Caenorhabditis elegans: one gene and its partner. The protein of the gene in region 2 purifies or fractionates together with the protein of the main gene of each other region. This does not show direct contact. Each region holds a gene or a part of one and is shown on either strand. Other genes may lie near its edges.

Region 1 (3,642 bases), about 13 Mb from region 2:
GCCTCACGGCACGACCCCTTCTCAACTCGTTCTCCGAGCGAAGTGATGACAAATTAATGGATTCGCATCATCGCCAAGTGCCCAAGGCACTGAAAATGCGCCAACAAGAGCGCAAGGCGCGAAACTTGTTAAGCGGGAAATCAGAGTGTCTAGGCGTGTCAGAATGACAAAAGAGCTTGCCTTTGATGAAAAATAAGAAGAAAACGGGTAACACCCGACAAAATTATTAAACTTCAGTCTTATTTGCTAATGTTGAGCCGGGTTTTCTATTTAACCAATGCGTCTTGAATTTTTTCGTTGCTACAGATGTTAGCTTCAGTTTCCACATTCAAAACTCCTGAATCGCAACGCATCAGAAATACTGAACTCGTGGAATAAATACAGAAACCAAAAAAGTTTGATATTTGAAAACGCTACCAACTGAAAAATACTAACCACTATGCCAATAAAACTCGATAAAAAATTAGACAGCTGAAAAATCAAGTATTGGTTCGAAAGATTATGCTCGTAAACACAAATTGGAAAAACTGCAAAACAATTTTCGAATATGTATTAAAATTAATTGAAAAAACTATGATAAAGGGGAAACGGCGTTTAATGAGAAGCAGTTCAATTATCTTTCAAACTTATGTTTTGCTGATAAAATTGAAACACAAGAATACTTCAGCACATTTGTTTATTCACAAGTAGGTTATTCAATACACAAAAAAGATCAATACACGGCGTTCAGTTAATCTTAATCAGTCCATCATCAATTGTGTAGTCCAACGTTTCCTCCTCTAACAATTCAACTGATTCTTTCAACGCTTTTATCATGATTTCAGCGTTAAAGTCGTCATCATTCTGTGCACGCATCGATTTGAATACAATAGTCATCCATGGCAAGTTTTGGAGAAATGTTTCAGTGGCAAAGTGCTGAGAAATGTAATTTTAAAAAACAATAGAAGATTTTGCAATTTAACTAACCAATTTAAGCTTAGTCAGAAATCTCTGTGCTTTGTTTTCCCGGTAGCAGCTTAATCCTAGATCGATAAGCAAAATATAAAATAAGCTCTCAAAGTCGTCGCTTTTTCGATAATCACCGCCACAAGCGATGTTGAATGAACAACGTCGTTCATCAGCAAGTAGTACCTTGTACGTTTTATCGATGCAGTTACGCCTTTTTCGAGTTTTGAATCTTTTGCTCAATCCGAAATCAATAAGCTTTATTGGATTAATCTGAAAAATATAGAAAGTTGATAATTGAAAAAAAAATGGAAAAAAAATGATTTTCGAAGCCTTCTAACCTCACGTTTTGATTAAACTGTTGATTGAAACAAAAATTGATTGGAATATTGATTTTTCGGCACGGATACTACATAAAAATGTTTGAAAAAATTATATTATAACCTTATCAATTGGAACCGGAACCATCAGATTTTGTTCGTGCAAATCAGCGTGGAAAAAGCCAATGGAGTGAAGAGTACTCAAGGAACGGGAGACTGCACATCCAACTGTCGCGACATTTTTACGATTGAAAACTAAATTTTTGTTTCTTTTTCTAATGTCATTAAGATTGTCTCCTTCGTCGCTTAAGACTGAAACAAATATTAAGTGTTATCGGACAAGGTGAAACTCACCAATTGCATAATATCCGTCAACTTGAAAATTCTCACAAAATTGGGGAAATCCATTTCTTTTTGAATTACCAAGAGAGTCCAGTTTGCGAAAAACTGATAGCTCCGTCTTGAATGATTTTTCTCGTTGACTCCCGTGAACAAATTTAACAAGCTTAATTACTTTTTCTTTGTTCAGTTCTTCCATATCGTTTACAGCAACAATACTTCCATACGATCCTTCACCAATTAAGTAACTTACATAGTACTCTTTGACAACTTTTCCTACCAAATCAACCATCTGAAAACGTGATACAGTAATTGTAAACTAATTTCCCTTAGGTTTTCAGCTAAAATAAACATTTCAAAAAAATTACATTTACTATAGAAAAACCGAGAAATTCAAACAAATCGAAAAGGGAGAGTTTGAAGAAAACCGCGGAAAGTGTAAGTTTAAAATTAAGAAATGATTTATTTCAAAACTGACATTTCACGTGAATGCGTGAAATACATTTGATTTAATTTTTGACTTTTTTTCAATTTCTTTGAAATAAATGGCTATCATTGAAGACCGGTGAGTACCCTGCACATAAAGTGACGTGTTTGAAATTTTTTACAGAACCTGGAATCTAGGTCACAGAGTTGTTTGTAGTAACGGACTTGAAACATTAGGGATTTGCTTAACCAAATTTTACCTTTCAGATGTTTCTGTTTCGGGTGAAAATACAGACCAATAACTGGTTTTCATGGGGGTTGTATGCTCCTTTGCAGCTGGGGCAAACATAAAAAATTACGGAGCTTGGAAAATTTGGCAAATCTACTTTTTTGAAATTTACCGTGTTTGGCAAATTTGCCGCACATCCATGCTTTGCACCTTACATTAAAATGTTGTTATTCAGATATTCAGCCGAATACCTTTTTTTAAACTACTATGCATTATTATAACTTCATCTGTGTCAGTGTATTATGTTTGATTTTCAATTTGCTGAGAACAGAAAAAAGATCACCTTGTCATTCTATAGTGGCAAAAAACATTTGGTGTAAAACGGAATAATAGATAGATATGACATAACACGGATTTTAAAGGGTAAAACAATATTATAAGATCAATTTAATTTACAGTTATATGATTTTTCGAACAATGTCTGTTCCAGTTAATCATAATTTTAAACCATAGGATCTTCTGGGGCTTCAATAACTTCATGTTCCAAATGGCCTTGTACTTCAGGATGTTCAATGTGTTCCTCGTGTCTTCCCAGTTCCTCGTGTCCGACAAGATGATTACCAGGATGCACAACAAGTTCTTCTTGCATGTATTCGACACCTTCCTCCACAATCTCTTGGTCGCCAGAGAAAATGTCCACGTGGAATGTCTCATTGATCATTTGGAGCAAGCGCTGCTCGTTCTTTTCGTATAATAGTCGGAACAAGCTGTCAAAAGTGTCATCAATGCACTCCGAACCAAACTGTTTTTGCGCAATTCGCCAAAGAGCATCATATCGCTGAGATCCACGAACAAATCCAGCAGTAGTCTGAAAATTGAGAATTTAAAAAACGAATCAATTATACAAACACTAACCACGCTTTTCTCCAAAAATGGATTTCTTCTCATCATTGATTGCCCATAGACGTCTCCAACTTCTTCAATGTGCTCGACAATCATGTCTCCTCCAATCATCATTTCGTGACCCATGATTGTTTTTGGAATTTGCTCTTCAATCACCACCTCTTCCACAGTCTCAGTTTTAGCCGATGTCGATGGTCCTGCACCATCAGCTCCGGTCCATTCAGTGACAAAAGTGTCGTTGTCAGCATGAGAACCAGAAAGTTCTCGCCGTTTGAGACTGAACAACATATTTGGACTAATATGAATTCCATGTTCCTGATGAATTATCTTCGCTGTTTCATTTACTGGGGCAGTTTTCAGCAAATGGAACACATCCTCTCTGATGTTTGATGGAAGGCTGCTGAACCATTCATCAGTCGAAGGTTGAATAGTCTTCTGAATTGGCTGTGGCACAGCTCCGGGCTCAGTGTAGCTGTACAT
Region 2 (5,855 bases):
AATGTGTTATAGAACGTCATAGGTTAAGTAGCACTGTTTTATGTTTTATTAGATTGAATGCAGAAGACAGTATTTTACAGGGAATTGTTTATTTTATTTAAACTAACTGCTGGAGACCTACTTGCTATAAAATTGAAGTTTGATAATTTTTGAGACATTTGAAGTAAATCAAACGGTACCTGAAAATGTTGCGAGTGATATATATGACAAACTTAGCAACTCCAAGTCTTTTTCAGAGGCTTCTTGACACGAAAACACTTGGACGAACAGGGCCTATCTCCATCCAGAAGTCACTCTTCCCTTCAATCCGACCATTCTGATCACAACTAAAAAAACCATATTCGAAATTTTTTCACAGCGCAGACTTTCCAACGAATTCATGCCCAGAGATTAATATTATTTCTGTCTTCAAATTTTCTAACTTTTATTTTTCTAACTTCCTATCGTATACACTCGTCGTCATTATCTCTTAATAAATAAACCAACAAACAATGTTCATTTCATGATTTCACTATCAAAGTCTTATCCGAACAAATGAATAAAAAAAAAGACAACTGTTAGTGAGTTCTAAATTTTGTCAAGAAATATTTTTGGTGAATGTTTTTTTTTTCAAAATTTTTAAATTTCGGTACTTGTGTAATATACGTGGGCAACCTTTTTTCTTCATATTAAGCTAAAATGGAAATCAGTTTTCCGTTTGGATTAATTCAGCATTTTCAGAAGAAATGAATGGAAACCGTATTGGAATATACTGTTGGGCCAGGTTAACTACAAAAAACAAAAATTGTTATAGTTCTTTGGCTGAAAAGTAATTTTTAAGTAAACCCTTCATTCAATAACCAAAAAATTCAAATTGAAAGCCAAATCGGAATCAAAAACTAAAAAAAAGACATTTCGGATCAACTGAATATCACATATAAAATCTACATAATTAGTAATCAATTGAATAAACTTGTGAAAAATGCTATGTAGAACCCTTTTCATCTGATTGTGCAATATTGTCCGTGAGAGCCAACGCCTGAAAAGGGAAGTAAAATCTTGTTGTTTCGATGATCCAACTTACTTGTTGCTTCAAAATATCTTTCAATTCTTCGTTGTCCACGAGGATTTCATCAAGTTGCTCGATCTTTTCACCATGCATGATTAAGGTCTCATTGAGTTGTTCTTGCAGCCTCTAAAAAATTGGATTGCTGTTTGAAATTGGGGAAAAAAATTGGGATTTTCGGAAGTTCTTATCACTTGTAATCCTTTTCCTTCACCGTTTTTTTGTAGTTCACAGTGATGATTGAAAACACGCTTATTTTATTGAAAACATTCAAATTATTCTTGAACAAAATCTCAGCCTAAGTTATTCGTACAGTGTCGGCCCTGGAGCAATGAATCGAAGTTTAAAGAGATTTCACTTTACACAGTAAGAGCTTCGAGCGAAGCCTCAAACCTGAATAGTCAAGTTTTCTAAACATATACCCCACTCCTGAAATAATTTCAAAGAGATCTCGAATAACCCGTTAACAGGTTCGAGGCGAAGCCGAGAACCTGCGCCAGCTACCTTGCTAATAACTTAAAGCGAATTAACCCTATCCCCATTCCCGAAGGGCTGGCGGGCCCATATATCCGCTAGTCAATTAATCATATTCAAATATTTTCAGTGTTCAAACCTGCATTAATGCTCGAAATCATTCAAAAATTACACATCTTTGAATAATTTTGTCATTTTATAAAAACTTTAATTTAAAACTTTGAAACATCTAAACAAAATTTAAATATCGTAATAGGATCTTTTCTCGTGCTGGACTATTCAGCGTGTATTTAGATTAGATGGCGGTATTAACCTCCGAAATAATAATTAATCTAATATGCAAAAACCGATATTTGCCCAAACGATTTATTTTTATCTCACCTCAATTTCCGCTTTATCACTTCGTCTCTGCGCCAAAAGAAGTCTCTTTTCCATCTCTAATTGTTCAATTATCTGCAGAAGGTCGGTCACATTCCCGTTCTTGCCATTTGGAGAAGATGCGATTTCCTTTTCTTCTCTCTCCCACCGATGGCTTTCCTAAAACATTGATTTACGAGTACGGTTGTGCAAAAAATTGTCCATTAGAGCAAAAACTCACATCAATGTATACTGATTTAGTTTGTGTAGATTCATCATGTTTGACGACTTGATTCGTTTGCTCCCGAGACTTGTTTTCACAGTTACAGGGTAATTGTATAATCTTCGGTGATGAGGATTTCCTCTTCGCTTGATTCTCCAAGCTTCTTTTAATTTCTGCTCCAAAAGTTTCGAAATCACTGATAAATGTTTCTTCTGTTTTTTGTAGCGCACCTTTCATTTGTGAGATCTAAGACAATAGCCTAATTTTCAAAATTTTTTCAAAAAAAATACCTGGTTTCTAAAATATTGAAGTACATCTTGAGTTCTGTGCCACGAATCTGTGCTATTTTGGTACTTTTCCTCTAATTCAATTTTCTCCTTTGTTAATTGGGAGCAAGTATGTTTGAGATTTGAGATTTCTTGATGAAAGTGATCCCGTTCTGAAAAATTTAGTCATTGAATCTATATTTTCTAAAAAAGTATTTCTTACCTTCACTAAGCATGTTCACAACTTTTTCATTCACGGAAAATCTATTTTCCTCCATTTCTCTCTCAAGATTTGCATGGCTGTGTTGTAAGAATTGATTTGCTTTTTTGTACTCCGTTAGTTCCTTCCGCAATCCATAAATTGCTTGGTTGAGAATTTCTTCAGGATTTGGTAATGTTACTTCTGGCACAGCAACTGGAGCTGGAGCCGGTGCTGGAGCAGGTGTCAGAGCTGCAGCGGGGCTCACAACACTCGATATTGAGATATCCTGTAATTTTTAATAATATATGTATTGAAAAATGATAATTAGTATTGTACTTGATTACTAAGTTTTGCTGTTTACTAGTATATTGTTTGTTGAAAAACGTTCTACAAATTTCAAAACGGATTGGGATCCGATCTGATAAAGTTTGATGTTTTTCTAATCCCTGACTTGCTCTGAGACTTCGCCCCGAAACAAAATCATTATTCAAATCACAATCTAAAATTCCATCACTCTAAATTTAAATCTAGTTTCTGCCGCTTCACATCTTGTCTAGGATTTCCCTGATACCTTGTTCAAGATCAGATCATTGTCTTGTCTTAGCGAAAGTGACTTTCTGTGTGTTATGTATACTATGATGTCATTTAATGTAGCTACTCACCGTATCAAACTCCATTGGTATTATTCGTAATCGATCCGGTGACGCTGTCCGTGAAGATGCTCTGAAGTTATGTTTTCTTTTAGTCAGTAGATCTACCAGTAATGTCAGTGCAACTGTTAGTTTGGTCAGTGCAACTGTCTAGTTGGTCAGTGCAACTGTCAACTTGGTCAGTGCAACTGTCAAGTTGGTCAGTGCATAATCCAAGTTGGGTTAGTGCACTCATAATTATAGTCAATACATCCACAAATTTATCATTATGGTCAGATTATTGTTATGTTTACATAATTCTTACCTTGTTAAATGTTCAATGTCCGATGAAATAATTGTTTGAATATCATCTCCAATATATCGATTATTATGAAATGCTAGAAAACGGGAACTAATTATTAATATTTATTCATTTAAATTTAAGAAAAACTTACGCGGTAAAACAGGTTCCAACATAACAATATCGTCAGCTAATGGCTCGGACCCTTGTGACGGAGATGAGCATTCCTGCTCAGCATGAACTTCATCTGGCACATCAACTTCAACCTCGGCTGCTTCTGGCCTGATATCCAACACCTGATCAATTCGTTTTTGTGCTTGAAGTATTGCTTCTTTCCAATTAACATTCATTGTGCCTGAAACTGACTAAAAAGGTAAAATAGAACAGACAAAAGCTGGTAAATAAGAAGCGTGTTGTGTAAAGTTCTGACGGAAGGAGAAAAGATGAATCAGATAAGCAGTGACGGAATTTAGTGGAATCCACGTTTTATTGGGTTGAACAGAGGAAATGGAAGAGACACATTGTGTCGTGGAGAAACCTAGGCCAGGAGGTATTGGGATAACAAAATTGTTGTGTTGAATAAATATTAAAATATAAATATAACAATACAATTTTAAGATTTCAAAATTCAAATGAAAACTTTCTGATTAGGTATATTGAAAATTTTAACAAATCAACAGTTAAATAAATTTCAAGAAAATAAATTGGCATTGGAGTTTCGATATAAAAATACAGTCGAAATATAACTTCCCTTATTTTTCAAAATCAAATGTACTTATAAAATGCAAAAATTCTATAAAATCTTCATTTTCATGTTGCCAAAAAATAAATCAATAGCACTACGCGTCAAGAGGAACTAGAGAGAGAGTGGAGGGGCAGAATGTTGAACAGCTGTCCTAAACATAACTAGCTGACTGAGGAGGAACAATAAATTATGAATATTTATTTTTGTAGAAAAACGATAATATTCAATTTATTCAACTTGACAAAGCGAATAAGAACATAATCAAAAATTTTCAGGTTAAAAAATGTCAGTTTTGTCAGTTTTGGGAAAATAGGGTATAATTGTGTTTTAAAGGCTATTGCTGATAGTGAGAAATTATTTTTTAAGACGTTTCAACTTCTAGAAATGTATACCGTATTTCCTCTGTTAGTCTTGCATGCAAGACTAAATTTCAATTGGTCCGTAGGGGTGCCAGACTAACAGAGGAAATACGGGATTTCTAGTATTTGGAGTGTTTCATGAGTTAGAATCAATAAAACCTTCATTTTTACAGCAATATTTTGAAGCTAGTATACATTTTTTAGCAGAATCCTGTTTTGTTTAGAAAACACATAAAAGAATAACAAGTTCATTCATTTACTAATATTGATGGAATTCATTCAAAATGGAAAAAGAGAGAATGCACAGAGAATTCATAATCGAATGCCAGAATTTAAAAGAATAATACATTTTTGAGAAATTATATAATTATTATATTATTAGTCTTGCGAAGCAATGCTTTGACAACTCAGATCTTAGTTTTACAGATAAATCTTGCTAGCAAAATAGACTACATGGAGTGTAATGTTTTTTTGTTATTAAACATATTAAAAGCCAAATACAGATATATTAATTGAAGATACACAGTAAAATATAATTATGTAGCAGGTACAGCAGTTTTCTTGATAATCTTGTACATCACCAAGACGTTGCTATCAAATGCGGCAATTGCAATTGCACTCCCGCGTCCATTTGTGAATTGCGCTCCCATGATGACGTTGGACGGATCGCTGTCAGAGAAACGGTATTCAACCTGAAATTGAGTTTTTGTGTATACCTAAATGTTCTCGACTTTCTGTGAACTAACTTGATAAGCATGTGGTTTTCTTGTGTGAAGCTTCGAAACGATAAAAGTGCCATCCTCGGAAGAAGTCAAGACATATGCGCTTTCCGGTGCGACAGAAACACTATTCACTGGTCTTGAATGAGCATTTATCTGTGAGAAATTATTATAAGCAACATTTTCACAAGCATGAAAATAGAAAAAGTATCGAGAAGAAGCCCGAGTTTTCAGTCATGTTTCCATAAAGGGCTCTTCAAGCACTATGCACTGCATATCTGGGAGTCAGGTACACTGGCTGGTGGTAATCCCAATGGGCTACAATTTAGGCCACGTCCTAGCCGGAGACTGTGGTTGATAGTCTTGGATTACTTCACTTCCCAATAGAGGCTGGATGAACCTAGCGGGGCGAGTCCGGACTCGAACTTGTGACCTCCAGATTGCTAGCGGCCACCATTACCGATTTTTTTTAATTGCCTTGAGGATGACCCACAAGTGAATTTATTGTTTAATCAATCCCGATTGAGCTATCCCA

Evidence for each region. The genes of interacting proteins can lie anywhere in the genome.
Region 1: the proteins of F39H12.1 (region 2) and F16B12.7 fractionate together in Caenorhabditis elegans (co-fractionation; one large-scale study listed by BioGRID). This does not show direct contact.

The regions. Positions count from the first base shown.
Region 1 is NC_003284.9:14,106,799-14,110,440, reverse strand, and holds F16B12.7 (Protein kinase domain-containing protein), read right to left. Parts: upstream 1,897-3,642; coding exon 1,620-1,896; intron 1,578-1,619; coding exon 1,390-1,577; intron 1,219-1,389; coding exon 967-1,218; intron 916-966; coding exon 727-915; downstream 1-726. Other genes in the region: F16B12.6 (DUF7747 domain-containing protein), read right to left, coding at 2,762-3,127, 3,175-3,642.
Region 2 is NC_003284.9:832,781-838,635, reverse strand, and holds F39H12.1 (Pericentrin), read right to left. Parts: upstream 3,859-5,855; 5' UTR 3,848-3,858; coding exon 3,652-3,847; intron 3,595-3,651; coding exon 3,522-3,594; intron 3,291-3,521; coding exon 3,230-3,290; intron 2,854-3,229; coding exon 2,589-2,853; intron 2,539-2,588; coding exon 2,390-2,538; intron 2,346-2,389; coding exon 2,118-2,345; intron 2,057-2,117; coding exon 1,901-2,056; intron 1,175-1,900; coding exon 1,064-1,174; intron 1,019-1,063; coding exon 965-1,018; 3' UTR 815-964; downstream 1-814. Other genes in the region: F39H12.3 (RIIa domain-containing protein), read left to right, coding at 237-330; wdr-54 (WD repeat-containing protein 54 beta-propeller domain-containing protein), read right to left, coding at 5,138-5,293, 5,348-5,476.